7 linked regions of the Mus musculus genome follow. The protein of the gene in region 7 purifies or fractionates together with the protein of the main gene of each other region. This does not show direct contact. Links are inferred from orthologs where the notes say so. Each region holds a gene or a part of one and is shown on either strand. Other genes may lie near its edges.

Region 1 (4,274 bases), on a different chromosome or scaffold from region 7:
GCCTGTCTCTGGTCTGGATTTTATCAGAGACCTGCCTGCCTCTGTTTCAGCCATCTGAGATTAAAGGTGTGTGCAATCAAGAGGGCCAAAAGAAAATTCTCAGGAGAAAGAAACCATTGAACCAACTCGTAGAGTTTTGCTTTGCTTTGCTTTGTTTGCTTTGTGGAGCCAGAGTTCGGAGTATGAAGCGTAGCCCTGTACTAGGGAAGTAGGGGCGGGAGATACAGGAGTTTCAGTTCATCCTTGGCTGCTAGAAAGTTTGAAGCCAATGTGCATGGGGCGCACGCCTTTAATCCCAGCCCTTGGGAGGCAGAGGCAGGCAGATTTCTGAGTTCGAGACCAGCCTAGTCTGCCAAGTGAGTTTCAGGACAGCTGGGGCTTTACAGGGAAACCCTGTCTTGAAAAACGAAAGAAAGAAAGAAAGAAAGAAAGAAAGAAAGAAAGAAAGAAAGAAAGAAAGAAAGAAAGGAAGGAAGGAAGGAAGGAAGGAAGGAAGGAAGGAAGGAAGGAAGGAAGGAAGAGAAAGAGAGAAAGTAAGTTTGAAGCCAGTGCGCATGGTGGTGCCCACCTTTAATCCCAGCATTTGGGAGGCAGAGGCAGGTGCATTTCTTAGTTTTAGGCCAGCCTGGTCTACAAAGTGAGTTCCAGGACAGCCAGGGCTACACAGAGAAACCCTGTCTTGAAAAACCAAAAAAAAAAAAAAAAAAAAAAGAAAAGAAAGTTTGAAGCCAATTTTTGCTACATGTGTAGCACAGCAAAGAAAAACAAAACCAAGACACCTGAGGGCAACTCTCTGGAGCAGCTGTGCCCACACTTGAACATTATCCTTTTCCTTCTTGTCTCTAGATCCTAAACTCAGTCCTACCCGTGTACCCTCTCTCACCTCTACTTAATAAACTTGCCAACTTTGCCCCACAGGGGCTTGTCATAAAATTCTTTCCTGGCCCGGCAGTGGTGTACACCTTTAATCCCTAATCCCTGCACGCTGGAAGCAGAGATAGGCAGATCTCAGAACTCAAGGCCGGCCTGGTCTACAGCTGGGAGTAGGAGGTTTAGTAAGGTTTTTTGTTTGTTTTTATTATTATTATTGCCTATATGGCTGAGTCAAGAACTTTCCCGTGTGTATACACTTGCGTGTGTGCAATAACTAACACCTACTGAGTCTCTACCCTTTGCAGAATGTGCTAAGTCATCAACATGACTATCCACCCCCCACCCCGAGACAGAGCTACCTTACGTAGCTGTGTGTGACCTGGAACTTGCTATGTAGACTGGTCTGCAATTCATAGATGATCGTCCTACCTCTGCAGTCTATATACTGAGCTCACAGGAGTACAATTCCTGGATTAACGAGTTCTTTCTAAAATTGTTTATTTTGCGTGTGCCCCTTTGTATGTCAGAAGACAGTCTGTAGTTGGTTTTCCCCTGGCGTCATGTGGATCCAGAGAATGGAACTCATTTGGTCCTCAAGGGTACAGGAGGCAGGGCTCCGTTACCCGCTGAGTCATCTCACTAGCTCCTTCAACGTTTACTTTTATGTTTTACAAAGAAAAAAAAAATCTTTTTTTCCCCAATGCCAGGTAAAACAAGCTAGTGAAGAGAATGAAGAGTGAAGGAATGAATGAATGAACGAACGGTCAGAAGAGCGCGCTCCATAGGGTAAGGGATCCTTGGAGATCTCCAGCGGAGATCCCAGGGCGGAGCTCAGGCGGACCCAGCGCAGTAACCACTCCGGAACTCCACCTTGCAGCCCCAGGGTGCCTGGCCAGCTCCATCCTCACGCCCTCGCCTGGAGCAGCCGCCCTCGGCGCGCTGGGGACAGAAGGGTCGCCGGCCCGGGGCGCACGCCCACCTGTCGCGCGCAGGCGCAGAACGCCGCCTGGCTCTCCCGCGGCGCAGTCAGTGCGCAGGCGCGGCGGCCGCTGCGAGTGTGTCTGTGCGGCGAGAAGATGGCGGCGACGGGAGACGCGGCGTGAGAAGCCGGAGCAGCACCGAACCTCATTGAGACGGGCCGCCATGGCCCTCCACAACCCACAGGTAGCGCGGGCCGTGTCTGGGCTGGGAGGTCTGGGCCACGGGACGGCCTCGGGGCGACGATCGCGAGGTGCGCGGCGGGCGAGCGGTGGGGGAGGCGCCGGCACGCTGCCGGCCTAGGCCCGCGCCGCGCCCCTCAGTGCCGCGCTTCCCCGGCTTCGGAGGCCGCCCGAATCTCCCCGAGAGCGCCCGAGCCGCCCCGAGAGTGTCCGAGCCGCCCCGAGAACGCCCGAGGCCGCAGGGAAGGCCTCCGCGTGCCCGGCCCGCAGCCGCCGAGTCCCGGGCGACGCTCTGGCCCAGCGCCGCCGGGGACCTGGCCCCTGGCCTCGGGAATTCTATTGCAAAGAAAACCGGGAAGCGCCGGGGCGGCATACTCCGGTTTGCCCGAGACTGACACCTTTTGCACGGTGTCCGAGCCCGGGCTGGGTCGGGGCCCGGCAGGCCGGATTGCCTGCTGTGTTTTCTGTGCCCGGAGCTGCTCCTGCAGCCCCTCTCCTAAGATGCACTTAGGACGAGTGAGAAGTCAGCACGTGGTGCCGCTTCTCCGGGCTGCGACTCTCGGGAAACTAAGAAGTAAAATTGCCTTTTTGAGGATGGTAGGTGGATGTATGTACAAGGCAGGTGAGGTCGGTCTGGTGAGGCCACCTTTGAAGAACGATCGTCTTTTTATTTGATCTTTCTCTTGGTCCACGATCGCCTCTAACTTAAGTTTTTTTTTTTCCCTATCTCAGCCTGGTGCGTTGCAGGCAAGAGCCACCATGTGCTTTTGAAAGGTTTTAGTAACTGTTGCAATATGGGATTTAAACCTCGAAACTGTTTTTAATAAAAGGTTAGATCCTAGGAGAAACTTCCGTTCTCTTAAGTATGTGGTGTTTCATAGATCAAATCTGAACTTTGCCTGTTTGACCTTTCCCCTCATCTGTAAATGCTTTTGTATTTGGTGTGCTTTTTTTTTTTTCAATAGGCAGACGATTCGTATTTGTTGAATAATATTTTGACAAGTGGTTTTTTTTTTTTTTTAAGTTTTAGACAGGTCTTCATTATGCAGCTGTGGTTGGCTTGCGATTAAGGCAACTGCCTACCTCTGTCACCAGAGGCCCTGGCGATTCGGAATATTCACCACCACCACATCTGGTTCTATTTAGGCATTTTTATTTTATTTTATTTTATGTGAATGAATGCTTTGCTTGCATATATGTATGTTCCTGGTGCCCATTGAAGCGAGAAGAGGGTGTTGGATCTCCTGGAACTGGAATTAGAATGGTTCTTAGCCTCTGAGTCCTGGTAGAAATGGAACCCCAGTTTTCTGCAAGAGCAACTATCTTAAACCTTGGAGCCATCAGCCCTTCATAGCCTTGCTCAATTCAAAAACACCTGTAGTCCCAGCACTAGGGAGGCAGAGGCAAGCAGATCTCTGAATTTGAGGCCAGCCTGGTCTACAGAGTGAGTTCTAGAACAGCCAGGGCTACACAGAGAAACCCTGTCTCGAAAAACACCAAAAACCTCTAGTTGACTACCTTGTTTTATTTTTGGAATTAGTCTGTACTGCTCATTCTGAACTGAGCTGTAATGTCAATTCTCTGTGTGTGTGTGTGTGTATGATTTTGGGGCAAAGAAAGCATGCTTAAGCAGAATTCACTTTCTCAAGCACCAGCAACAATATCCAGTTGGTGGAAGTGGTGGTGAGTGATTTCCTTGGGGTCCATTGTCCTGGCATTGCATGGAGCCTGACCGGAGAAACCAAACAAATGTTAGCAGTGCCTTGGGTCAGCTAGTGGTAGAAGGGAGAAGAGGTGATGGTAGTTTTAGTCCTGTTTTATTTTGAAAAGACGAGTGAAATAGCTGTGTAAGGTGGAGCACACCGGTACCCCCTGCATGCGGGAGGTGGAGGCAGGATCAGGAATCCAAGGTCATCCCTAAGTACAGAGCACGGTGCAGTTCTCTCCCCTTCACGGAGAAAAAGGGGGAGATGGAAGGAGGGAGGGGGAAGGGGAGGAGGAGGAGAAACAGGAGTTCACTGTTTTGAGTCTGTTTTGAGTCCTAAGTATTTTAACAATTAGTTCATTCAGTCAGATACTAGCAGGTTACCTAGGGCTAGCCTCCATGATGTTCGAAGTGGGTGGTTTTTGTTTTGATTTGTTTTTGGAGACAGGGTTACAATGTAGCCCAGGTGTGCTTTAGACTTGAGTTTTCCTGCCTCAGCCTCTCAGGTTTTAGGGAGGAGCCTAAATGTCCTCTAG
Region 2 (4,348 bases), on a different chromosome or scaffold from region 7:
TCAGCTGTGACATTTTTATGATACAGCATTATAGGAGGGAAAAAAAAAAGGCTTATCCACTGCAGTTATCACCATGGGCTGACCCACCACTGCCTGAGGACCTGAGCTGTTTTCCCCCTTCCGACGGCCAAGTGACACATGTCAGTCAGAATGAACTGGACGACGGCCAGCAGCCAGACCGCAGAATCCCAAGCTGCCCATGCCCTGCACTCTGAGCTCTGGGTGCAAATCCTAACACTTCATTTGTCTGGTGAGAATGTGAAGTAGTTATTAGGAAACAAACTCAAGTCTGGCACAAAGCACTGCCTCCTGGTCGATGGGCAGCGCTTAGTGCTCTCCATTCCAACAGCTCTAGCATCTCACAAAATCCACGTGTCGCTTCCCTGACCCATCAATGGTTTTAATAATTCTCATTGTTAAACGTGTATTAGGAATTTAAATGCTACCCCTTCCCACTTGGGGAACGGTTACATGAGAAAGGTGCACGGTGAGCCTCTGAGCCTCTGAGCTAAATCTCTGCAGCCGCCTCGCTCGAGTGCAGATTAAGAGGCACTCTACTCTTTCCTTGGAAGCTCTAACTAACTCCATGGAGCTGGGCGCCAAAGACCTGCACTAAAATCAGACTCCAGTGCGAGTTCTGCTTGACAACCTTTCTTTTGGAAAATGAGGCATATGGTGGCTCTTTTCTAGATTAGGTCTGAAGAGATTTCATCAAGGAAACACACCTAGAACCCGACCAGGATAGGGCTGGACAAGGCACGGAACTGGAATTTGCCAGGGAGGCTCATTCACCTCCTCAGGGTCACTGCATCTAAGGAACTTCCCTGCACCCAACGGAAGAGCTCATCACTTACTGATGACAAAACCGAAACCAAATACTCTAATCCATGGCATCCTACTTACTCATTTCCAAGGCTTTAGTGGTTTATAAGTATTTTTAAAGTTCAACACTACTGCATCAATTCTTACAATAAATTAAAACTAACTCCTATATCATAATGTACAGGTCTAGGATATGTAAGGAGACAGTTCTAAAATGCTTATACACCCACCTAAATCTGAGCACATTATAAGGAGAATAACATATATGTGTGTATGTACATACACATACATATACATATATGTGTTCACATACATACATATGCACACATATATATGTCAATATCATGAACTGGCAAAACGGCAAAAAACTTGTAACATGGTGACACAAAAGTCGCACTACAGGAGTGCACATATTCCCGGAACAGGAGGCTCTGACCTGGAGTTAGACACAGAAATATGTTTCTCACAAATAGCAGTTGTTGCCTGTGGGATTTCAGCAAGACAATCGCACAGCTGACTCATGGGACCAATTACAAAGGAGCAGTAATCTTTCCTGTGGCACTAAAACAATACAGTGTGCTTTCACCACCAATTAACAAATGTTAAGGAGTCAGAAGTGTACCACCGATGGTTTCATTGCCAAATCAATAGCCAGAGCCCCCACCCTCCCACCCACCTCCACGTGCATTCCTTGCCAGATTCCCATGGGCCAGAACCTCTTATAATGATTCACTAAATTCAACCAAAACTGGTTTCTCAAACTGCTTGGGCATTTACTGAAAACTATATTATTTTCTAATGACAAAAAAAAATAATAATTAGCTGTCTAGTATTTCTCAATGTTAGTGGTCCTGTTTAAATGAACTGTTGGTCTTGCTTAAGATTTTCAGAAATCACAGAAAATCGGAAGAATGAGTGAGCTGTAGCTCACCCTCCCTCCCTCCTTCCCTCCCTCCTCTGAGCAGAGGATCTCTCTCTACCCTCTAAAACACTGCTTCCCCTGGAGAAGAGCAACGCTCCATGGAAAAGAACTCCCTGCCTGCTCCCCACATCGCCTGCCCCCCAGCCAGGCAGCCCACGATGCCGGCAGCGCCTGGATACTTACAGACTGCTTCTCCTGCTGGCCCAGAACTCCATGGTTAGCAGGCGCGGCCAGTGGTTTCATAATGAAGAAACATATGCTGAACTGAATTTACACATCATGTACCAACCTCTCACGACGGCAAGTCACCCTCTACAGCATGAAATTAAAAGAAAAAGAGGGGAGGAAAAAAAAAAAGAGGGAGGAGGGAAAACCAGGCTGCAGCTTAAAGTGTCACTACTGGTGAGCCTAAAAACCCTTCACACTTGTAGACAGAAAAGGAATCTGAACGACAGGGCTCGGCTCCATTTTTATCACACTGAAACTCTAACCCTCGGAGGCTCTGACAAGGCTGAGGGAACCTCACCCAGCCTTCAGGCTTCTGATAGAACGAGATCATTTCTGAGGCTGAAGAACAAGAGGCAAAAGAAAAGGGGGGAAAAAAAAGCTAAAATGGCTGACTGCACACAGACTCCCCTCCAAAAGGCTTAATACAGAATTATATTAGCCAGGGTGGTGAAAAGCTAGTCTCTAGCATTCAGCCAAGCATTGTTAACACTCTTGTTTCATTTGCAATCACACATACAGACCCCTCCAACCAAGGAAAAAAAAGAGAGGAAGAGAAAAAAAAATCAGGGCAGAGCGTGTGAATCAGGACCTCCTCCCTAGCTGCTAATGATGCTGACAGTGGTGACCAGTGATCTCTGTCCCACTCCACTAACCAAGTTTACACAATTAATCTCAGCAGTATGACACTGATGGACATTTAATTTAATGATGTCTGTCCCTCACACTCAACACAAGCATGCCTGCTAGCCGGAGTCACTGACAGAAACATGGAACATGCACACACACACACACACACACACACACACACACAATCTCAAGAATCATGAGTCTGAATGCAATACACCAATATAATTACATTATTGTGCTTACTTTGGAGGACCATGGCTGCAGGCAGTTGGCATAGCAACGCACAAGGAAAGCCATTTCCTGGGTAGAGAAAGCTTCCTTTTCTAAATAAAAAAAAATCCCTCTTAGGAAACAAACGGCATTGCTGCTTCCCGCAGAAAGCAAGACACTGTAGTCTGTCTCTTAACCTGCAAGCCTCACACTCGCTGAGGTTCTAGTGATGTAAGTGGGTTTCTCTCTCTCCCTCCCTCTCCCCATATACGCTGAAATATTCAGCTCAAACGGTACACACGTTCCTTAAGGCTCGCCCCCTCCTCTACTTAACCATTTCACTCATTAAGGTAGCGATGGACAATTCAGATAAAGTAACAAGCTCTTGCCTGTATTATATCAGCGGCTGTAGGTTAAGCAAGTCTCAGAGGGATGGAATCCATTGATTGCTGACTCCAAATAATATCACTGAAGACAGGGTGGGAAAACGGAGCAAGGACTTACTTGAACAGCTTTGAACTAAAATATGAATTTTTTTTTAACCAAGGTGGGGAGAAAGGAATCAATGTGACCTCTGCCCCACCCTCAAGTATTATTGTGCCATAGTAAATAAGACTGTCTTAAAATTTATAAAATGCAGGCTTAGCAAGCTTTGTTAAATTTAGAAGATGAAATCACACACACACACACACACACACACATATACACACACACACACACACACACACACACACGCACGCACGCACAGATGCACATATGGTCGTGTCAATAATATTATAATAAACCACCTGGGTTGTTTTTTTTTTTAAACAAACCAAACTTCTAGAGGTGGAACTGAAATTAATGAAGAAATGTTATTCTCCCACGGTCTTAATTTCACCTACGCACACAGGTTACCTGGGAGGAGGCTGCATTACAGCTGACGAGGAATAAAGACACTTCCATCAGCTCTCACAAGCAGCTACACTTTTGAATGGAAGAGAGGACAGAAAGCAGTTATGGAAAACATGTCATCTCTTACAGTGGCCTTTGGCACTGTCAGGGATTCCTACTGGGTCTCTTGTCTATCTGAAGACCGTATCCATCCTCTTCTCTCTTCCCCTCCGTAACAAAAGGCAATTATTCTTTCCAATCATGATGGGAGATTCTTCTCCCTGCCTCCCACCCACTTCTTACACTTCTTACATTACTCATTACCTAATCGCCACAGATTTGAACATACTGCTCCCAACCAAAGATCTGCCCTGTCAACTTTTAAACGTCCGTGCCTCTCCTACCTCAAAGGCAAAATTAAACTAGATTCCTCCTTAGACACAATTTCCTATGTCTACAGACATTCTCTTCCCACACTTCACAACCAAATCTTGCAAGAATTCCTCATTTTCGACTTTCCCTGTTTTTCCATCCTGTATGTTATGCAGATAAAAAGCCGCTTGGATCTGGTACAGGGTTATACATGTTTGAAGCATGTTCAACACCCGTTCCTCCTGATATCCATTACACTGTTTCTAGTTTTCCTTCATCTAAGTTTCTCTTCAT
Region 3 (3,550 bases), on a different chromosome or scaffold from region 7:
TTCAATTTATACAGAAACACAGTCAGAAAAATAAATGGCCTGGCTAAAAACAGAGACATGAATCAATTTGATAAAATACAGGCCCTAGAGTTAAAAAGCCACTTGACTTTCGTCTAATGAATGGGCAGTTCTTGAAAGATGAGGAACAAATGGAAAAAAAAACAAAAACAAAAACAACAATGTTCAACATCACTAGTCATCACAGAAATGCAAATTAACACTACACAGAGATTCCATCTTACCCCAGAGTTGCTAACAAAGAGAAAACAACAAATGCTAGCAAGGAAGCAGAGAAAAGAGCATCCTTACACACTGCCGCTGAGCATGTAATCTGGCTTGCTTCTATAGTAACTACTAAAAGACAAAAACAGGAAAGAGGACTAATTGCTTACCAAATACCATACAGCCATGGAAATATGCATACAATTAACATCATACAGACTGAATAGGTTATATTTAGGAATATATACGCATATACATATAAACATGTAACAACAGTTAATGAAAGCATGGGTCCATGAATTTGAAGGAGAGCAGAGGTACATGGGAGAGGGCTTGAAGGGAGGGATAAGAAGAGAGAAATAATCTAATTATATTTATAATCTCAACTTGATGAAAATGCGTAAAGTTAGAAATGATTATGTTTAGTGAAATAAACCAGACAGAAAAGCAAAGGTTTCATGCTTCCCTTTTTTCAGAAAGGTATATATTCGTTACTTTTTTCTTCAAAGATGTGTTCTTATTTTAAGTGGATGAATATTTGCCTGCACATATGTTATATGTACCATGTGAATGCCTGGTGCCTGCAGAGGACAGAGTCGGATCTGGAACTAGAGTTACAAATGGTTGCGCGCTACCATGTAGGTTCTGGGAACCAAACTGGAGTTTAGTACACAGGAGCAGCAAATGCTCTTAACTACTGAGCCAATTTTCTAGCTGTCCTGTGACAGGAAAATAGAAAACGAACTGGGAAAGGATAAGAGTAGCTGAAGGCAGTAAGGCTAGGGGGAGGAAATGCAAGACTGAACATACTCAAAGCCCATGGTTACTTAAAACTTCTTTGTACAACCCAGCAGCATACATACTGAATAGATGCCAATAAAATATTTATTATGTACAAGCTAAAAATTGGGATTGTGGGCTGTGTGTGTTGGTACACACCTTTATTCCCAGCAAACGTAGGTGGGTCTCTGATTTTGAGTCTGGGTTGGTCTATAGAACAAATACCACAACAGCCAAAGCTACATAGAGAACCCTTTCTTGCAAAGCCAAAATAAATAAATACTAAAACTTTTCAAGAGTAGTGTGGGATGAAATGTCAGTGAAAGGGGAGTTCCCAGACACAATTCTGCCCATTCCTGGCATAGCTTCAGTCCCTTCATCTGTAAACGAGGAGGCTACATCGCCTTTGCAAAATACTTTACGTTAAATTTTTATCATAAAGAACTTAAAAATAAAAAATTCATACACCAAAATTAACCAGACCCCACATCTATTGATCGTTATAAACATTCTGAAGCTGTGAAGCTTCACACTGGATTTTCACTATTGAATATTTGCATGCATTTATCCATCACCAAAAAATGGCAGATTTAAAACTAGAAAAAATATACTTTATATCCTCTTTTATGAATCAAGTTTCAGTTACCTACATTCATTCAGTCTTTCACTATCATCTCTGATAAGTTACTCTTTCCTGTTCTCTTCTTCAGGTTATACTATCCCGAAGTGCACTTTTACACACACACACACACACACACACACACACACACATTGCATTGTATATGTATATGTGTAATAGGCTAGGAGAACATACAACTTTTCTTTCTGAGATTTTGAAGACTGGAAATCGCTTTCAGCAGCATGTTGTCATGGCTTCTGACTTGGTCAGAAGCGAGACTGCCTATTGCGAATGCACATGGGAAAGTGACTAACGATATGCATTGTTCGAGCAAACTCGAGCAGGATCTGGATCAGCACAGAGCACAAGGACCTGAGCCAGCGGAGAAAGAACCTGACGAGAGTTTTCCATGTGTTTCATAAAAACTACTAAGGTTAAGAGTGTAAATATAGGATATTTCTAATTATATCCCATACCTTCTACAGAATGAATTCAATCAGCTCTATCAACCTACCCAATATATTCATCTTTGTTTTCTTCCGTCACCAGGATATTGGAACCTCCCAACTTTAAATCATGTGAAGTAACTTTTCCCAGAATCTCCATGTCTACAGAAAAGTACATTTCTAAGCCACATTCTTCAATATTGTTATCTCTGGATAAAAAAAAAAAAAATAGTGTGAGTGTGCATATAAACACAGTATAGGAATGGGTTTCAAGTAATTACTTCTATTACAAAAAAAAACTTCAAACCTTATCCAGATTAGAGAGTTGTAAAATTCAGTATCAATAGATTCCAAATCCTTAATAGTAAGTTTTTTACTTAGCATACGCTTGTAGAATGGTAAAGAGAAACCAGTATCAATAAACTTTCCATGGAACAGTGCCTGTTAAAAACAAACAAAACATTTTATTTAAACTTACAAAATAATAATCTTTATAGCATAGTGACAATATAGAAATCATGCAGCTTTACATATTAAAAAGCACTATTCAATGGTATAAAATGTGAAGATTAGCATACTATGCAATGCATAGAAAACTACAATGAAAACATTTATTTCATAGGTCAAACATAATGTACATAAAAACTATAAAGAGATGATGAGACTTTATTACCAAATTCTGCCACTTTTAAATATTTTTAGTAATTAACTTAAACACAGAAATAAAAAGCCCATGTACTTTGTTCCATTCCTTTATTAATCTGTAGGACCCCTGTGTCTTCATGCCTACATACAGCATGAATACAGGAAGACACCAATGATTTTTGAATCCATAATATCTAAAACTATTTGCAGACCCTTAATCTGTTTACATTAAATCAATAAATCATGAAATTATCTTCTTATATAGCTTCAAACCCTCCCCAATGTATTTCTAACAAACTCCCAAATCTAGACAAAATCAATTAAGAATTTATACTGCCTATATAGTGGTAGAACATGCTAGAAGTACATATAGCAAGCTAGCTAGCTATGACCAGCAACCTCATAGAAGCATGTTTACTCACGACATTCAGTTTCCCTGTCTCAGATGACTACGAACTGCTATTCCTTTGTCCTCAAATACTTACTAAACTTACTGCACACAGGAAATGGTAACCGGGAGCACATTTGTGTAGTCTACCCATCTGCTCACCACTAGCATCTCAACTCTCATACTCCTATTGCAAGTAAACTTTCTACCACTTTTGTGAGCAATACAAACTTCTCCCTTTGATTCAAGGTCATTTGCCAATACTTCTTATATTACGGGGTTCATCCAGTTCTTTTTCCTCATCTGGGCTTGGTGGCTATAACCAGCACACAGGAGGTTGGGGTAGGCTATCAACCTAAGCTACAATATCAGAATCCTATTAATTGTTACCAAATTCTCTAGGATACTGCAGTATGAATTTTTCTAAAGCAGATACCTATGTTTGAATAT
Region 4 (4,078 bases), on a different chromosome or scaffold from region 7:
CATCTCATGTGACAGGAAAGGAACAGCATTCCTCCCACCTCAGTTTCCCACCTATTTTAGCTCTCTGACAAAGTTAGTGATACCGACTTTATACTAAGTATAGTTTTAATTGGCACTAGAGATTCTGGATACAATAAAAACTAACGGTCTCTGCTCTTGCAGAGAAGTGGTACTCTTTTAAACTGCAAGACCAAGACTGTGGACATCGAAAAAAATGTACTTCAAGCAAGTCCTTCAAATTTACAACAGCTTCTTAGCCAATTTCCCCACTTATGCTGGGGGCAAAAACTTCTCTGCTACTCTATAAAGCAAACTATTGGGACATCAGGGTCTAGTGTGTTTAGTTTACTCTAAAGAAAGAGCCAGAATAAAAGAGTTGTAATCCTTTCCTCTCCAGCCTTCTTTATGAAATCCTCCTGCCTCAGCCTCCTAAACACTGGGATTATAAATGTGAGTCACCACACCAGGGTCAAATAATACTATTTAGTTACAGGGAGAAAACAAAACAAAAACCCCATCAATGTAGGTTATGGGTATTTGTTTTGTTTTTTAAATAAGATTCAAAGCTAGACATGGTATTGAATAACGTGTAGTCCTAGCACGTGAAAGCTGTGGGCAAGGTCAGAGTTCAAGGGCAGTCTGGTCTATGAGACTTGTGTCAAAACAAACCCCCCTCAGATTTAAATAAGCCTTGTCTTTTAGATACAACAAACAGGTAAGCTAAACAATATAGATATGGCCACTTGCCAAACCTAAGATACAAGAAATTAGAAACTACAATCCTAATATACCCTCTTTGTCTTAATCTATGAGAGTACAGGGCTGTAAAAAAAAAAAAAATCTCATTTCCTTTTTTCTTTTGTTTTTCGAGACAGGGTTTCTTTTATATAGCCTTGGCTGTGCTGGAGGCCTCTCTTTCTGTTTCCAGAGTGCTGGGATTAAAGGCATGAGCCACCATGCTCTGCAAGATCTCATTTCCTTATTTCCTGTAAACCACTAGAAAATTGGAGAAATTTCAAGTTATTTTAAAGAATTTCATTTCAAGACCTGCCAATATTGGGAGAGGTAGCAGGAACCCCACAAGGTAATCCCCTCTTCTGTTAGAACCTGGTGTGGTGGCCTACACCCGTGTTTCTGAACTTGGGGACACTGAGGACACATTCCAGGACAACCGTTAGACTAAGCTTCATGGCCCTGAGACAAACCCACCCTGCAGTGATCATGGCCAGAAATTTTACTGGAATTCTTTGGGTATCTACATTCAGTAGGCAGAATTTGGGTGACTTATTAATACCACTGCTAAACCAGCACAACTAGAAAGAAAAACATTCAACTGAGTAGACCCACCAAGACCTTTAAAAGGCCTCTGGCTTTTCAGTGCAATACTACAGTGAGCCAGGCCTTCTCATTTGACTACTTTACTCCACTTGCAAATGAAGCAACTGATACAAGTCTAAAACACTTCTAGAAATAACCAGTTTTCTTTTGTTTTCAATCTGTAATAATGGCCAAAACCCAATCTTTAGGAGATTTTAAGGCTAAGTCTAATAAGGATAATAATGTGGCTCCTATGTGTTATTTCCACTGGGCTTGCTTATAATCCCAAACTGCTTGGATCTTGAATAATGACCTAGGACAGAATAAAGCTTCTACAATTACGATTCCTTTACAAGGCTTATTCTGATTTTTTTTTCTTTCTACCACTGCCCTCACTTTGAACTCTGCTAACTGTTCTCTTGTTCTGATCTGTGTAGCCCAGGCTAGCTTTGAACTCCAAGCCTGACTCAGTCTCTAGTGCAGGGTGTGCCACCTCAAGGAGTTCTCTTGATTTCAACAGGCTTTGTTAGTTTCAAAAAAAAAAAAAAAAAGTCACCCGCAATTTGGATCTTTTGGAAAGCAACTCCAGCACTTCCCATTCCAATCTGATTCCACTTAACCAAAAATATAACAGAAAGGGAGTAAAACCTAGTTTAAAACCAAAAAAAGGCCTTTTCGACTCCAGTCCCTCTCTAACAGGGATGGCTAACATAGCGGAAAAGAAACGATCTCAAGCAGCTTTTCCTAGATTAAAACTTGAGCATCCGGATCCTCCCCCAGACAGACACTGCGGCCGGCCTGCAGGGATCAAATGATCAGCGAGCGGGCCAAGAGAGGCGACAAGGCTGGCCTGCCACTTCCGAGCCAGGATCGCGGTCCGCAGAGACGTCCGCCCAAGCCTGAGGCCTGCGCGCCGCCGCCATTGTACGGCGCGAGCCTCAGGGCTCTGCGGGCCACCCCGCCCCCCGCCCGCACCTCCCCCTTACCCTCCACGGTCCCTGTCACGATCCCGATCCCCAAAGCCGCCTCCACGCATGGTCCCAAACGGATAAAGATCTGGGAGCGGGGCACGGATGACCGAGCTCGGGAGGGCCTGCGGCTCGGGTCTAGTGATGACCGATGGCGGCGGCGGCGCCTCCGCTGTTGGGGCGGCGGCAGGCGCGGCGCTGTCTCGCTCCGACGCGCTGTCTCCCGTCGCAGACGCCACCGTCGCCGCCTCTCTCGTCGGAGACGGGAGCACAACTCAGAGAATCGGGGTTGTTAGGACAGTCGGGAGGTCTGGTCCCGCTCAAACCGGGCGGTGCCACGGTTGAGGCGTCTCCCTTCCTTCCCAGCAACTGCACAAAATGGCGGCGGCCGCGGAGACCGCTCCAACTTAACGCTACGCACGGCCCAGACGCTACGTAAACAGCGTCTGGAGGGCTCCGCGCGACGCCACGGACATTCTCGGAACCGCTTTACGTCGGTGACGGAGATGGGGGCCCTGGTCGGCCCACCTTAAACAAGGCAATGTGCGCAACCGGCGTAGGGTTCTCGCACCGCCAGCTCTAGAACGTTGGCTGGGGGTGGGGCGAGCCGTCGGCACGACGTCACAGTGTTGGCGTCGTTGGCCCGCCCACTATTGCGGGTCAGCGCAGTCTTCGTAGCGCATTCTGTTTCGAGAATGGACTTTTCCCGGCATTCCGAGCTCAACCCGGCGCTTGAGGCCGGCCTTGTGCAGACATAATGGTAGCACTCCACGTAGCCTTAGTCAGACTTCCGGGTCTCTGGGCAGTAGAACCCAGAGAGTCTTGAGGCCGCTTTCTTGGTTCCAACGTCCCAACGCCGTGTGCCCCAAGCTGGCCACACAGCCCGGCGCCATTTCTTTCCCGTCGCTTTTCGCCGCGCTGGCGCCGCAGCCATGTTGGATGCGTCGTGTCGCTCTCTTTCAGCGGCCAACAGCCTGGCTGGGCCAAAAGACACCCTGTGTTTCCCGCGTTTCTTACTGAGGTGCTATTTTCCGAACAAAGGGTTGGCACCTTTTCCTCTGGCCGTAGTTGACGCAGAGGCCACACCTTCCCAGAGTCCTTTCTGAGGTGGGCGCCTTGGACCTTAGCCACCATGAAAATGGGTGCCTTACCCGGGTGCCCCACTGCAGAAGCGGTGGGTTTGACAGGCTAGGATTTGCAAACCCTATCCGGGGAGGGCAGGCTGGGCTAGGCCGCCGGTGCCACCCAACTCCTAGATTGCTTTCTTTGGCTCGCCATCCCTGCGCACTGCCAAGCCACACAAACTTGGACATAGTTGCTTTACTAAATTGTGGAACTGCTGGGTTCCTTGAGACCTCTAGGCTCATTTCTACCGCCGCGGAGAATGGAGGCCGGCAGACTGGAGGCTTAGTCTTGTCTCATGTCCTGAGTGTTGCTTAGGTTAGGAAAGCCAGGAGAGTAAAGAGGCGTCTTGAGAAACGGTTCATTTGTCACTTCGGCCATGGAGAGCCAGGCATTGTGCTAGTTGCTGGGACACTGGGGATCCAACACGTTCCTTGGCACAGAGCTTTATTCTCTAGAGACGGAGAGGAGACAGATGACAAATGTGTATGTTAGACTTTTGCTGACTTGGAAAAGAAAATGGTGTTGAGGCTGTGGAACAGTGCTTGCTGACCGTGACTGAAGCCCTGGATTCAACACCCAGCACCTCCAAGAACAACAGCAAAAAAACACTAAAGGGAAGGCCATACTTTAATTCCAGCACTCGTGGGTGAATCTCTTGAGTTAAACGC
Region 5 (4,292 bases), on a different chromosome or scaffold from region 7:
CCTACGTATACACAAAATAAATAAAAAAGTAAAAAAAAAAAACCAACAAAACAAACAAACAAACAAACCCAGAAAACACCAACCAACCAACCAGAAAAAGAAAGAACAACAGAAACCTAACCAAAATTTGTTGTATTATTCCTAAGTACCATTCTCTCTTGGCCAATGATGTTCTCCTAATTAAAGATCTACTCCAGGTGAGGCACAGTAGTGGCTGTGGGTCATCATGTGGGTGCTGGAAATTGAACCCAGGTTCATTGCAAGAGTAGCAACTGCTCTTAACCACTGAGCCCATATACCCCAGCTTTTTATGTGGGTGCTAGAAACTTGAACTCAGGTCCTTGTCCTTTCATGGGAAGCACTCTTATCTACTGAGCCATCTCCCCAGCCCCATCTTGTCCCTCTCTTTTCTTTTGTATTTTTCAAGACAGGGTTTCTCAGTGTAGACTTTGCTGTCCTGGAACTTGCTCTGTAGACAAGACTAGCCTCAAACTCACTACATCAACCTGCCTCTGCCTTTGCCTCCTAAGTGTTGGGACTAAAAGCATGTGCCACCACACCTGGCCCATTTCTGGCTTTTTTTTTTTTTTTTTGGTTTTTTGAGACAGGGTTTCTCTGTATAGCCCTGGCTGTCCTGGAACTTACTCTGTAGACCAGGCTGGCCTTGAACTCAGAAATCCTCCTGTCTCTGCCTCCCGAGTGCTGGGATTAGAGGCGTGCGCCACCATGCCCGGCTCCCATTTCTGGCTTTTTATGGCCAAAGACACTACTTATAGATTTCACTTGCTTGATAGTCATTGAATTTCATTTATGTAACACAGGACTTTGATCTCAGGGTTAGCAATGGTAGTTCATACTTTCTGAGCGCTAAACTCAAGGTTTCCTGGAGTGAGTTCTATCTGTCCCTGGCTTGCTTGGGGAGAGAAAAGGCTCTTCTGAAAAAAAAGAGGCAATAATAGCTTAGGATGTTATCGGAATCTTGCATTGATGTTGAGGCTGCTGTTACATGCACACTTGGCTCAAGTCTCTAGGTCTCAATCTTTCTGCAGATGCCAGATGTATGAACTTTAGGAGGGTCTGGTTTTCTAAAATCACAATTAGGGAGAACCAAGGACCCTGAGTTCTCTATTTTCCTAGTATTTGGAATACAGAGGAAGCGCTAGTCGCCATCTTGCTATCAAATGCCAGGCAAGGAGCCACTGGCGTCGTTTGGTAACCACGGTGACACTCCGGCTTTGCCTTCTTAGAGACTGGAAACTACAATTCCCATCAGCCGACTTCCCCTCCGGGCTCTCGAGTGCTCTACATTTGGCTTGCACACAGCCGCGACTCTACGCAGTGACCCGTGGGAGTTGCTGTTCGCCGCGTAGCCTTGCCTTTTGCCGCTGGAGCCTCCAGAACTACAAGTCCCGTGAGGCAGCGGAGTGCGCACGCGCAGAGCCGCGGTCCTCCTCGGGCCCCCTGCCAGTGCCAGGAGGTAAAAAGAGAGGGCGGGGGAAGGAAGAGGAGGCGGGATCCGGACGCTGCGTTGGCTGCGGCCTGGCACGAAAGGGGCGGCCCCGGCGGAGAGCAGACCCAGTAGTCCGGGCGATTATGGACCCGGCAGAGGCGGTGCTGCAGGAGAAAGCGCTTAAGTTTATGGTGAGGAGATGGGTGCGGGCAGGGGACTAGTGGAGGCGGCTGCGTTGGCGTGTCGCTGAGCTTAGGCCAGGGTCACCCGCTCACCGCAGGAGGGGGCAGTGGGACTGGGGGCCAAGGCCAGTGGCGAGGCGGAGGGAGGGACTGGACCTGAGCTTGGGGGAGGGTGCAGGAGGGTACAGAGGGGACCCTGGGGTGGGGGCAGCAGCTCCGCCATCTTGTGGAAGAGAGGCCAAGTGACAGCGGGAGCTCATTCGAGGTGGGGGCTCCTGGCGGCGCGCGGGGCCCCAGAGGGAAAGGGGCGTGGGGACAGTTACTGAAGAGCGGAGGAACCCGGGTGGAGAGACGCCTGTGGACGCTGGCAGGGGCCTTCCCGGTGTCAGGGTTACGGGTAAGGCCTGGGAGAGGAGGTGCACTCAGGAGTGGGGAATAGTGGAGATAGGATAATGGCAAGACAGACACTGGGGGCAGGGGGAAACTGGGCAGGGCTGGAAACTGATGGCTGTAACGGCGAAAGTGGGAAAACCATGGCTGGGAGGCAAGTATTTTTGTAGGATGGGCTGAGAAGATAGCCTTTGCCTAAGGGCTAAGGGTGGAATCCCAGTTAGCTCTACTAATGTTGGCAAACTCTGGAAGAGGCCTCATTTAAGAAGATAAGGACTCAGACCTAGGGCTATGGTGACAGTTCCTGGGAGAGAAAGACAGTGTTGATTGTGAGCTAGAATTACAAATATCAGAAAGGAGATACGTGCTCTGTTTTGAAGGAGAGGGTCAAAATTATTTGTGGTAAGGACAAAGCGATGAAAGAAATGTAGTTACAGGTGAGTGGGGACAAGGTTAATAACCAATAAGAGAAATCAAAACAAAACTTGGGCCTTCAGTGGTGAGGTAGTAAAAAGTGGGGGAAGCCAGGTGCTGTATTGCTTTCTGTGAGAAGAAAGTCCTTGGAGAAATGAGATGTGAGGAAATTTCAGAGGAAGGATGTAGGGAGTAGAGAAAGTGAGATAAGTCGGGATTGGTGGTTGCCCGTGAGTTTTAGGTTGTAGTACAGAGTGAGTATTGCATTTTTAGGGTCTGTGTCAACCCCTTAGGCCCTGTTTCTGTAACTTTGTATGGTGGTTCTCCTTTGCTGTGCTTGTCTTTGGCAACCTTGACCAGTCTGATATTTGATGCTTTTAATCTGATGCTTTCTTGTATAGCCTAGGTGTAAACCAGCCTCTAGTTACATCTAAAGAAGGATGGATGCATAGATTTTTTTTTTAAGCTTAACAGGTGGTCTTAGGGATAATGCATTATTTTCAATCAAGTCTTGTGGTTTTTTGTTTATTTGTTTGTTTGTTTTTGTTTTTTTTCAGAAGTAATTGTAACCCATCTTTCAAATAGCATTCCTTGGTTGAATAGTTTTTTTGTGCCTTTGCCTAAAATGCCATAACAAATTTGATAAACATAGATACTAACTTAGTTGAAATTAGGTTTTAAATTGTCCCATTCATATTTATAGAAGCTGGTCAAATTTAACTTTTTATTTTGGGGACTGGAGAGGCTGCTCAGCAGTTAAGACCATTGCTGCTCTTCTAGAGGATGAAGGCTTGATTCCCAGCACCCACATGGCTACTCACAGTGGTTTAACTCCAGTCCACCCTCTTCTGGACTCCCCCCCCACCCCCCCACCATGTACACAGGTGAACAGGTGATGCACAGACATACATGCAGACAAAACATCCATACACGTAAAATAAATAAATAAATAAATAAATAAATAAATAAAGTGTATTAAAAAGATAAAATTTTAGCTGGGCTGTGGTGGCTTGGGAACAACACTTGGGAAGCAGAGGCAAGACTGATTTCTGAGTTCAAGGCCAGCCTTGTCTAGAGTACCAGCTCCAGGTAGTATGAGCTCTGGGACAGCAGAACTACATAGAGAACTTCTGTCTCTAAAAGCCAAACAACAAAAACATTACTTTGTATCCGTACCTTCAGAAACACAAGTTTGTCATTCACAAAATTCTATTGAGCCAAAAGACATTTCTTGAATTTCTGTCCTGTGTTGACCTTCTAAAATATTGAGACCCCAGGTCTGGAATTGTGGCTTGTACCTTATTCTCCAGTACTTAAGAAGTGGAGTCAGGCTGGGGAAGGTGGCCTACATCTGGACTGGTAGGTGGATCTCAGTTTGAGTCTAGCTTGGTCTACATAGTGAGTTCTAGGATAGCTAAAGGCACATAGTAAGAACCTGTCTGAAAAACACAAAAAAGAAAAGGAAGAGGAGGAGAGGAGGAGGAAGAGAACAAGCAGGAGGATGGTGAGGAAGAGGCAGGAGTATTGGCCAGGTGAAAGCCAGCTTGGGCTACATACGGAATTATACCCTGTGTCAACAGACCATAAACAAACAAAAAAACCAAACAAGCTAGCTAGGTGTGGTGGTGAATGTCTGTAATCCTAGCACTGGGCGGAAGGGTCAGGAGTTAAGTCTGCCAGGGCTACTTGAGACCCTGTTTACAAACAAGCAAATGAGCAGAGACCTTGAAATCTTGGGGGAGAGGATGGGAGTAAGTCAGTACTGCTTTTATGCCCTCAGCCAGCTTCCAGTTGTAAGTCAGAAAAGTGCTCAGTTTTGTTTTCCGGTTTCGAGGGTTGGCTCTGAAGAGGAACCT
Region 6 (4,209 bases), on a different chromosome or scaffold from region 7:
GAAAACACTCATCAGGGTCCTGGGGTTGAGCCAGGCGTCTATTGGGCAGCCTCTTCCCCACACCCACCTGGAAGGAACACATGAGGGTCTCATCCACACTCATCATGGCACCAGCATTGTCAAACTCTCCACAGTAGTTGGGAGCTGAGAAGAGTGTCACCAACTGTCTCTTGGCAAAGAACTCATAGCCATCTTCTACAACCTGGGCCAGGGCAGGAACGGTTTAGTCTGTAAGTTAGGCACCCCACCCCCACCCCCAGCCCGCCCCAGGCCACCAGCCCACCTGATGTGCTCTGCAGATGAGGTCCAAATCATGCTTGTGCAGGAACTTGGCTACCACCTCAGCCCCAAAGGTAAAGGAGACACCACGGTCATTCTCGCCCCAGCCTTGAACATCCTTGTCAGGGTCAGACCACAGGAGATCACACAGTAGGCCCTGGTCAGGCACGTCTGTGGGCCGCATAATACGCCTAATCTGCTCCATGGATTGCAAGTCTGGAGACAGGCCTGGGGGTGGTGGAGTGGGAATAGTGTTCCTTAAACCAAGTGCTGTCCTGTGCCCAGCTCTGGGGTGGGACAGCTCCACTGTTCCCACCGCTAATCTGGGCTCCTTAAGTTCAGGGAGACAGAATCCATTACTTCCCCACTGGCCCCATTTCTCTGTGGCCTTGGCTGTCCTGGAACTCACTTTATATGACACCACCACTTAGAAGTACAGATAGCAGACCTCGGGGGTGGGGGGGCAGAAGGAGATTAATGAGTTGACTACAGGATGCCTCATGCCACAACAGGAAAGAGTGCAACCAAACTGGTGGGTGGAGCATGCCTTTAATCCCATCACTTGGGAGTCAGAGATAGGCAGGAGCTCTAGTGAGTTCAAGGCCAACCAGGTCTACAAAGTGAGTTCCAGGACTGTCAGGGTTTTACCCAGAAAGCCAGTCTCAAAAACAAACGGGGGTGTGGTAATCTCCCCTAATAAGCGATATCCAAGATGAGATTCAAGGAGCGCTATTCCAGGGAACTGAGAAGAGTTCTGTTAACTTTACAAGGCCCCTAAGGATGTGGCCCAAGAACCCAAGCACAGACCCACAACCACTCTCACCCCCGTGGCAGCAGAAGATCTTCTCATCCACAATGGCTGCAATGGGCAGGCAGTTGAAGCAGTCAGTGAACGTCTTCCACAGTTTGATGTTGTATCTTCTCTTGCCTGCGCAAAAGGAAGCGGCTCATAGGGAAGACTACACCCCCAACCCCCAACCCCAGTCTAGGTTTCTGTGCACCCATCCAGGGACAAAGCTGAGAAAAAAAGACCGAAAAGCAAAGAAAGCTTACATTCTTCTCTTTGCTCTACCCTCATCTACCTTCCAGAATTCCAACACCTGAACTCGTCTGGCCCAACCATGATGGTGGTACCCACTCTGGTCCCATGGATGAGGCCAAACCAGGAGTGGGTCTGTTTTATTCATACAGGCATCCTAAATGTTTACTAAGGAATGTACTAGAAGGGGGTGTCATCAGGCAGGGCTGTGGCTTTAGCAAATGGGCAGCCCTGCATGTACATCCATTCACCAGGCCCCTCCTGAGCGCCAAGGACGACAGACGTGTTGCTGGGGCCCTACAGGGCTCATCATTGGGGGTCTTTTGGCACTAGACCAATGTAGGGGGCCCATGAAGAGCAGGGAATGTAGTTCTGGGCAGACAGCAACATTCAAAGCACTTACATTCATCATAGAAGCCATAAATGCGGTTGATGCTGGCACACTCATGGTTCCCACGAAGTAGAAAGAAATTCTCCGGGTATCTGATCTTATAGGCCAGCAACAGGCAGATGGTCTCCAAAGACTGCTTGCCCCGATCTACATAATCCCCCAAGAAGAGGTAGTTGCTCTCTGGAGGGAAGCCACCATACTCAAACAGCCGTAGAAGGTCATAGTACTGGCCATGGATGTCACCTGGGAACCAGAGAAAACTAGGTAGGTGCAAGATGTAAACTTGACCCCAGGGCCAGCAATAGGTTAAAGGGTGGAGGAACACGGTTAATGGGGCACGAGTAGGGGCTATTTTCAGGAAGCAAAAGGGTTCTGTGCAAGGATTTACCACAGATCTTGAGGGGCGCCTCAAGCTCCAGAAGAATGGGCTGGCTCAGGAAAATCTCCCGGGATTTGAGGCACAGACCACGGATCTCGTTCTCTGTCAGCTGCACGTTCTTCCCAGGCCGTGAGCCCTGCACTGAGTACGGAATAGGGTCTTGGGACCCTGACCTCGCAGACCGGACGAGGGTAGGTGTCGCGCCCCCCTAACAGGGGCAACTGTTGCAAGTGAGCCCCCACCCCCTCACCCCGAAACCTTTGCGTCAGGCCTTCAAAGGCAAGATCCGACCCCTTAGCCACCCGGAGGGCCTCCAGAGAAACGCCTGTGCTCAGCAGCCTGTCAGCCGAAGCTTCCTCGCTTCGGGATCCCTTCCCAGCTAGCTTCGCAGGAGCCTCACCCTGAGTCCCGGGCACTCGTGCACCCCCGGCCTCTGAGCGCGCTCCAAAGCCCAGGCGCCCGCGGGGGGGGGGGGTGCCGTGGCCATGGATCCTCACGGCCTGTCCCCGCCCAAGCGACGCTAGCCCCCGGGAGCGGCGGGCCGCCCGCGCGCCACTTCCAGACGGCGAGGGGCCCGGGCTCGGCGCGAGCGCACCTTCCCTACCCCTGCCCACCTTCCAGCAGGCGCCCGATGATGGAGTCCAGGTTGAGCTTCTCGCTGTCGGACATGGCGGCGCCGCCGCTCCGGCCCACCAGCTCCGGGCCCTCTCCTGCCTCCCGCCCTCTTACAGCCTCCTTCCGGCCTGGCTCTCCTTCCGCCCTCCCCAGCCCGCCCCCGGCCCGCCGCCCCTCCTCTTCGGTCGACCGCCCCGCCCCGCCCTGCCGCGTCCGTAGTTCCCCGCTCTCTAGCGCCTCCCCTGGACGGGAAGCTCCGCAGCCCGAGAGGGCCTCGGGCGAGCGGGCGGGGCTGGCAGGGGTGGTGAGCCGGGGTTCGGTAGGGCGGGGTTAGGTCGGCTCCACCCTGGAGGAATCGCCCTGCCGCGTTCAGATGAGTTAGGGCCGGAAGTACTGTAGGAATTGTTTTTCTCTTTCCAAGTCTCTCCCACCCCAGCCCTGCGTGGGACTGTGGTATGAGCATGTTAATCGCTGACTTCTCAAACACTAAATAAATTCCTCGAAGTGCAGAAAAAGAAACTAAGGCTTAATGATACTGAGAGTGGGCTCCAGACCTCCGGAGCCTCACATTCACCTCCATCTTTATGGCCAGACCCATGAACACCTGCTACTGAACTCTAAGCAGTGTTTTGGTCCAGGTTGCCTTGGTGCCTGCTACGTCCATTTTTTTTCCATAAGTGATGTAATACGTTGTATCTCGTTCATGTTGTAAGTCCTTTGTAGAGTACTTGGACTTGTCTAGCATGTGCAAGGCCTGAGGTTCCAGCTCCGGCTCTGGAAGGAACATTAAAGTAGGCTTGGTGTCGTAAACCTATAATTCCAGTGCCTGAAATTCCTGCACTCAGGAGTCTGGACACAGGAGGATCAGAAGTTCAGGGTCATCTCCTGTCTGGGCTACATAAGACCCTGTTCTCACACTACCCCTTCACTCTCAAAACAAAACAAAACAAAAAACCCGGGGCAGGGGGTTGGAGGGGTGGGATGACATTAAAGGATAATTATTATTGGAACCATAAATTGGTTTTACTTGGTAAAACTGAAGGTGGCCTGTCATCTTCAATTTGGGCCAGCCAGGGAATCAATACACCCAGCATCCTCTGGATGGGAGGAGGTCGTGGCTCTGGCACTAGGGCAAGCAGGAAGAACCTCACAGAGGAAGGGGGGAGTCCCCCCACCAGGGAGGGGCCCCCAGCAAGCTGCTGAGCTGAGACTGAGGAGGAAGTGAGAAGAAGAGGTGAGGTGCAGCAAGGAGGTGAGCCGGGCTGCTGGGGTAGGGGCCAGGCTTGGGGCTGGGGCTCTGCACAGAGACTTGGTCTCAGGGTCTACCCGACTCCCCAGCAAAAGAGGGGGCTTAGTCCCCTGTGACTGAGGACTGGTGGCTGGAATCCCCAGCCTGAGTCTGGCTGTTCACACTGGCTCTCTGTATGTCTTGCAGCCTGTGACACTGGGGTCCAGGGCAGAATGGCCCAGGCCCTGGGAGAGGACTTGTTATCAGAACTACAGGAT
Region 7 (3,550 bases):
TGCAGCTTTGCTATTGTTCAGTTTGCTGTAGTTTTCTTGGCCTGGTTGTATTTTGCTTGGTTGGAGACAGGGTTACATTCTCTAGAAGAGCTGGCCTGTCACTCACTACAACTCCAGCTTACCTTCTGTCTCTGGTGATCCTTCTGCCTCAGCTTCCCCAGTGCTGGGACTGCAGAAACAAAACACCATTCCCAGCCCAGTCTGTTGTCACCAAGTGTGCTTTATAGTAACGTAATCTATTATCACCAACAGTAATAAAAAAAAAAAAGTGTAAAAAACTTGGTCATTTTCTATATTTTAATACATGAAATGCTTATGGGGTTTAGGTTCTGTTTTGATGCTTGTCATATTTCATAATCCCAGAACTTCTCAAAAATGAAAGGTCATTTTCTAGCACTATTCATCTATTTATTGAATAGTTTTTAGGTTCTAATAGTATTTTTTGTTTTGTCTGCATATATGTCAGTGTGCCACATGTGTCCTGTGCCTATGGAGGCCAGAAAAGGGGCAATGGCCCCCTGGAACTGGAAATACAGATGGTTGCGAAGCACGGTGTGGATGCTGGGAATCAAGCGTGGTCCTCTGGAGGAGTGGAAGGCGCTCATCCTGTGTCACCTGCCGAACCATTTGTTCTCTTTCAATTAATTACAACTAAAGACACTTTTCTTTCCAGTGGGCATTTGCTCTTGGCCTCAGCTTTTTTTTTTTTAAGATTTATTTATTATTATATGTAAGTACACTGTAGCTGTCTTCATGCACCAGAAGAGGGGATCAGATCTCATTACAGATGGTTGTAAGCCACCATGTGGTTGCTGGGATTTGAACTCAGGACCTTCAGAAGAGCAGTCAGCTTTTAAAAGTAATTTTTAAGATTATATATATTCATTCGTATATAAGAGTGTCTCTTGGTGTACACACACACACAGCCATGATATAAAAATATGTAGTTTGTTCAAAACAGAATCTGAACAATGTCCACAGGAAGCATCAGACTCAAATCTAAATGTTTTAATAAGATAGTTCTTTAGTCTGATTCACGACTTGAACATATTGTTTAGGACGAGTTGGCTCCACAACATCATCTTCAGGCTGGCAGTAAGTCTGTGTATTGTACCCAGTGTGTAGCCTGGTGATACTTAAGCACCATTCTGGCTGGTGGAAGCCTCTATGAGTTTTGTCCCAGTGCTATAATGACAGGGACCTGAGGAAAGGGTGTTCCCACTCAACTCACCTTGTCCCTGCAGATTTCAGTCAAACCTGTGATTAGGTCCCTGGGAAACGGTATTCCCAGCTAAACTCATGGATAGCCACTGTCAATGCAGTGCTCTCCTTCTTGTCACTCCTACTTACAGCTCAAGGTTTTATGTAGCTTGTTTCTCTTATAAAAAGCACTGGTTGTTCTTACAGCATCCACAGGTGACCTGAAACCATCTATAACTCCAGTTCCAGGGGATCCAACAACTACTTCTGACCTCTGAGGGCACCAGACACACAAGTAGTGCACAGATATACTTAATTTAATAATTAATTGAAAGAGAACAAGTGGTTCGGCAGGTGACACAGGATGAGCGCCTTCCACTCCTCCAGAGGACCACGCTTGATTCCCAGCATCCACACCGTGCTTCGCAACCATCTGTATTTCCAGTTCCAGGGGGCCATTGCCCCTTTTCTGGCCTCCATAGGCACAGGACACATGTGGCACACTGACATATATGCAGACAAAACAAAAAATACTATTAGAACCTAAAAACTATTCAATAAATAGATGAATAGTGCTAGAAAATGACCTTTCATTTTTGAGAAGTTCTGGGATTATGAAATATGACAAGCATCAAAACAGAACCTAAACCCCATAAGCATTTCATGTATTAAAATATAGAAAATGACCAAGTTTTTTACACTTTTTTTTTTTATTACTGTTGGTGATAATAGATTACGTTACTATAAAGCACACTTGGTGACAACAGACTGGGCTGGGAATGGTGTTTTGTTTCTGCAGTCCCAGCACTGGGGAAGCTGAGGCAGAAGGATCACCAGAGACAGAAGGTAAGCTGGAGTTGTAGTGAGTGACAGGCCAGCTCTTCTAGAGAATGTAACCCTGTCTCCAACCAAGCAAAATACAACCAGGCCAAGAAAACTACAGCAAACTGAACAATAGCAAAGCTGCTTGCAGGTTCTCTTGGAAAGTGCACGCTCCAGGTCCCCATAGCACATTCACTATGGAAATACATTAACAATCAGGGTTGGTTATCTTGTTGGTCAAGTTCTCAGAAAGTGGTCTTTGAACTGTTGATTCAGTCATATCCTTTGTTTTAATGACTGTGGTTTGGTTGTGAGGGCGTTCCTCCCCGCAGGGTCTATATGAAGGTCTCTCTCTTTCTGTGAAACCTAGATTATGTAACCCACCAGCTTCCGGGAGATCCCCTACTTCTGCCTTACAGCGGGAGTGCTGGGATTGTACATGTGGGTCATCCGGGCTGGAGAGATGGCTCAGTGGTTAAGAGCACTGGCTGCTCTTCCAGAGGTTCTGAGTTCAAATCCCAGCAACCACATGGTGGCTCACAACCATCTGTAATGGAATCTGATGCCCTCATCTGGGGTGTGAGACAGTTACACTGTACTCTACATACATACATACATACATACATACATACATACATGCATACTTAAAAAAAATAGATGTGGGCCATCAAATTGTGCTTATCTGTGGCCTCTGTTGATTAAACTCATGTTATAGGGCTTAGGTGGCAAGTACCTTTATCCACTGAGTATCTTGCTGGCTCTTTAATCTATTTGTACAACTTGCCGCTTTGATTCCTGTTCTCTGATGCTACACAAGTTCCATTTGCCTTAGGCTTCTGTAACAGTTGTGGCAGCCATGAGTCACAGCCATCACTTTTATGGTGCCTTCTCATCTATCCCCCTTGCATGCTCGAGTGATCCTTTTCTAGTCTCTGAGGACAGTCTTTGTTTCATTTCAGCCATGAACCAGAGGATCACTCAGAGTGCTCCAGTGAAGCAGCCCCCACCCTTGGCTCCCCAGAGCCCACAGGGAGGCGTCCTGGGTGGAGGCAGTTCCAACCAGCAGCAGCAAATACAGCTGCAGCAGTTACAGATGGAGAAGGAGAGACTGCGGTTGAAACAACAGGAATTATTTCGGCAGGTGAGACCACAGGTTAGAGTGCAGCCTTTGTCTTCTGGGCTTTCCGTCCCACAAGTCTGTGTTTCTCATTTTAGCTTCAATCAGCTACCAAGGAATGTCTGGTTTGTGAAAGTAGGCTCTGTCTGCCTGTCTTTGTCCCGTTCCTTGACTAGCCTTGGCTCACATGCTCTGTAATTCATTGCCCTACATCATAAAGAGCTATTAGCCAGAGTGGTGGTGCACACCTCTCCCTCTCATCCAGAATTTGGGAGGCCATTGCAAAAAGATCAGGAGCTCAGGACCAGCCTGAGCTACATTGTAATGTGAGGGCTAGCCTGAGCTACATGACAATTTCAAAAAGAAAAGAGAAAAGCACCTGTGCACTGGGCATTGCAGTTAAGAAGGAAC

What was found.
Region 1: the proteins of Yap1 (region 7) and Usp10 purify together in Homo sapiens (affinity purification with western blotting; 4 studies listed by BioGRID). This does not show direct contact. The link is inferred for Mus musculus from reciprocal best matches to the Homo sapiens genes YAP1 and USP10.
Region 2: the proteins of Yap1 (region 7) and Rapgef2 purify together in Homo sapiens (affinity purification with mass spectrometry; 3 studies listed by BioGRID and IntAct, with this or other methods). This does not show direct contact. The link is inferred for Mus musculus from reciprocal best matches to the Homo sapiens genes YAP1 and RAPGEF2.
Region 3: the proteins of Yap1 (region 7) and Wwp1 purify together in Homo sapiens (affinity purification with mass spectrometry; 3 studies listed by BioGRID, with this or other methods). This does not show direct contact. The link is inferred for Mus musculus from reciprocal best matches to the Homo sapiens genes YAP1 and WWP1.
Region 4: the proteins of Yap1 (region 7) and Ddx17 purify together in Homo sapiens (affinity purification with mass spectrometry; 3 studies listed by BioGRID and IntAct, with this or other methods). This does not show direct contact. The link is inferred for Mus musculus from reciprocal best matches to the Homo sapiens genes YAP1 and DDX17.
Region 5: the proteins of Yap1 (region 7) and Btrc purify together in Homo sapiens (affinity purification with western blotting; 16 studies listed by BioGRID and IntAct, counting the BioPlex papers as one, with this or other methods). This does not show direct contact. The link is inferred for Mus musculus from reciprocal best matches to the Homo sapiens genes YAP1 and BTRC.
Region 6: the proteins of Yap1 (region 7) and Ppp1ca purify together in Homo sapiens (affinity purification with mass spectrometry; 5 studies listed by BioGRID and IntAct, with this or other methods). This does not show direct contact. The link is inferred for Mus musculus from reciprocal best matches to the Homo sapiens genes YAP1 and PPP1CA.

What each region holds. Positions count from the first base shown.
Region 1 is NC_000074.6:119,908,903-119,913,176, forward strand, and holds the start of Usp10 (ubiquitin carboxyl-terminal hydrolase 10), read left to right. Parts: upstream 1-1,457; 5' UTR 1,458-2,016; coding exon 2,017-2,037; intron 2,038-2,043; exon of another isoform or gene 2,044-2,534; coding exon of another isoform or gene 2,535-2,630; intron 2,631-4,274. UniProt on the Homo sapiens protein: Hydrolase that can remove conjugated ubiquitin from target proteins such as p53/TP53, RPS2/us5, RPS3/us3, RPS10/eS10, BECN1, SNX3 and CFTR.
Region 2 is NC_000069.6:79,142,929-79,147,276, forward strand, and holds the start of Rapgef2 (rap guanine nucleotide exchange factor 2), read right to left. Parts: upstream 2,819-4,348; 5' UTR 1,988-2,818; coding exon 1,928-1,987; intron 1,882-1,927; exon of another isoform or gene 1-1,881. UniProt on the Homo sapiens protein: Functions as a guanine nucleotide exchange factor (GEF), which activates Rap and Ras family of small GTPases by exchanging bound GDP for free GTP in a cAMP-dependent manner.
Region 3 is NC_000070.6:19,625,498-19,629,047, forward strand, and holds part of Wwp1 (NEDD4-like E3 ubiquitin-protein ligase WWP1), read right to left. Parts: intron 2,509-3,550; coding exon 2,375-2,508; intron 2,277-2,374; coding exon 2,136-2,276; intron 1-2,135. UniProt on the Homo sapiens protein: E3 ubiquitin-protein ligase which accepts ubiquitin from an E2 ubiquitin-conjugating enzyme in the form of a thioester and then directly transfers the ubiquitin to targeted substrates.
Region 4 is NC_000081.6:79,543,892-79,547,969, forward strand, and holds the start of Ddx17 (probable ATP-dependent RNA helicase DDX17), read right to left. Parts: upstream 2,851-4,078; 5' UTR 2,354-2,850; coding exon 2,304-2,353; intron 1-2,303. UniProt on the Homo sapiens protein: As an RNA helicase, unwinds RNA and alters RNA structures through ATP binding and hydrolysis.
Region 5 is NC_000085.6:45,362,246-45,366,537, forward strand, and holds the start of Btrc (F-box/WD repeat-containing protein 1A), read left to right. Parts: upstream 1-1,488; 5' UTR 1,489-1,593; coding exon 1,594-1,641; intron 1,642-1,835; exon of another isoform or gene 1,836-2,029; intron 2,030-4,292. UniProt on the Homo sapiens protein: Substrate recognition component of a SCF (SKP1-CUL1-F-box protein) E3 ubiquitin-protein ligase complex which mediates the ubiquitination and subsequent proteasomal degradation of target proteins. Recognizes and binds to phosphorylated target proteins.
Region 6 is NC_000085.6:4,190,765-4,194,973, reverse strand, and holds the start of Ppp1ca (serine/threonine-protein phosphatase PP1-alpha catalytic subunit), read right to left. Parts: upstream 2,801-4,209; 5' UTR 2,758-2,800; coding exon 2,703-2,757; intron 2,230-2,702; coding exon 2,098-2,229; intron 1,953-2,097; coding exon 1,722-1,952; intron 1,208-1,721; coding exon 1,103-1,207; intron 508-1,102; coding exon 284-507; intron 203-283; coding exon 68-202; intron 1-67. Other genes in the region: Tbc1d10c (carabin), read left to right, coding at 4,165-4,209. UniProt on the Homo sapiens protein: Protein phosphatase that associates with over 200 regulatory proteins to form highly specific holoenzymes which dephosphorylate hundreds of biological targets.
Region 7 is NC_000075.6:7,952,566-7,956,115, reverse strand, and holds part of Yap1 (transcriptional coactivator YAP1), read left to right. Parts: intron 1-2,981; coding exon 2,982-3,163; coding exon of another isoform or gene 3,164-3,175; intron 3,176-3,550. UniProt on the Homo sapiens protein: Transcriptional regulator with dual roles as a coactivator and corepressor. Critical downstream regulatory target in the Hippo signaling pathway, crucial for organ size control and tumor suppression by restricting proliferation and promoting apoptosis.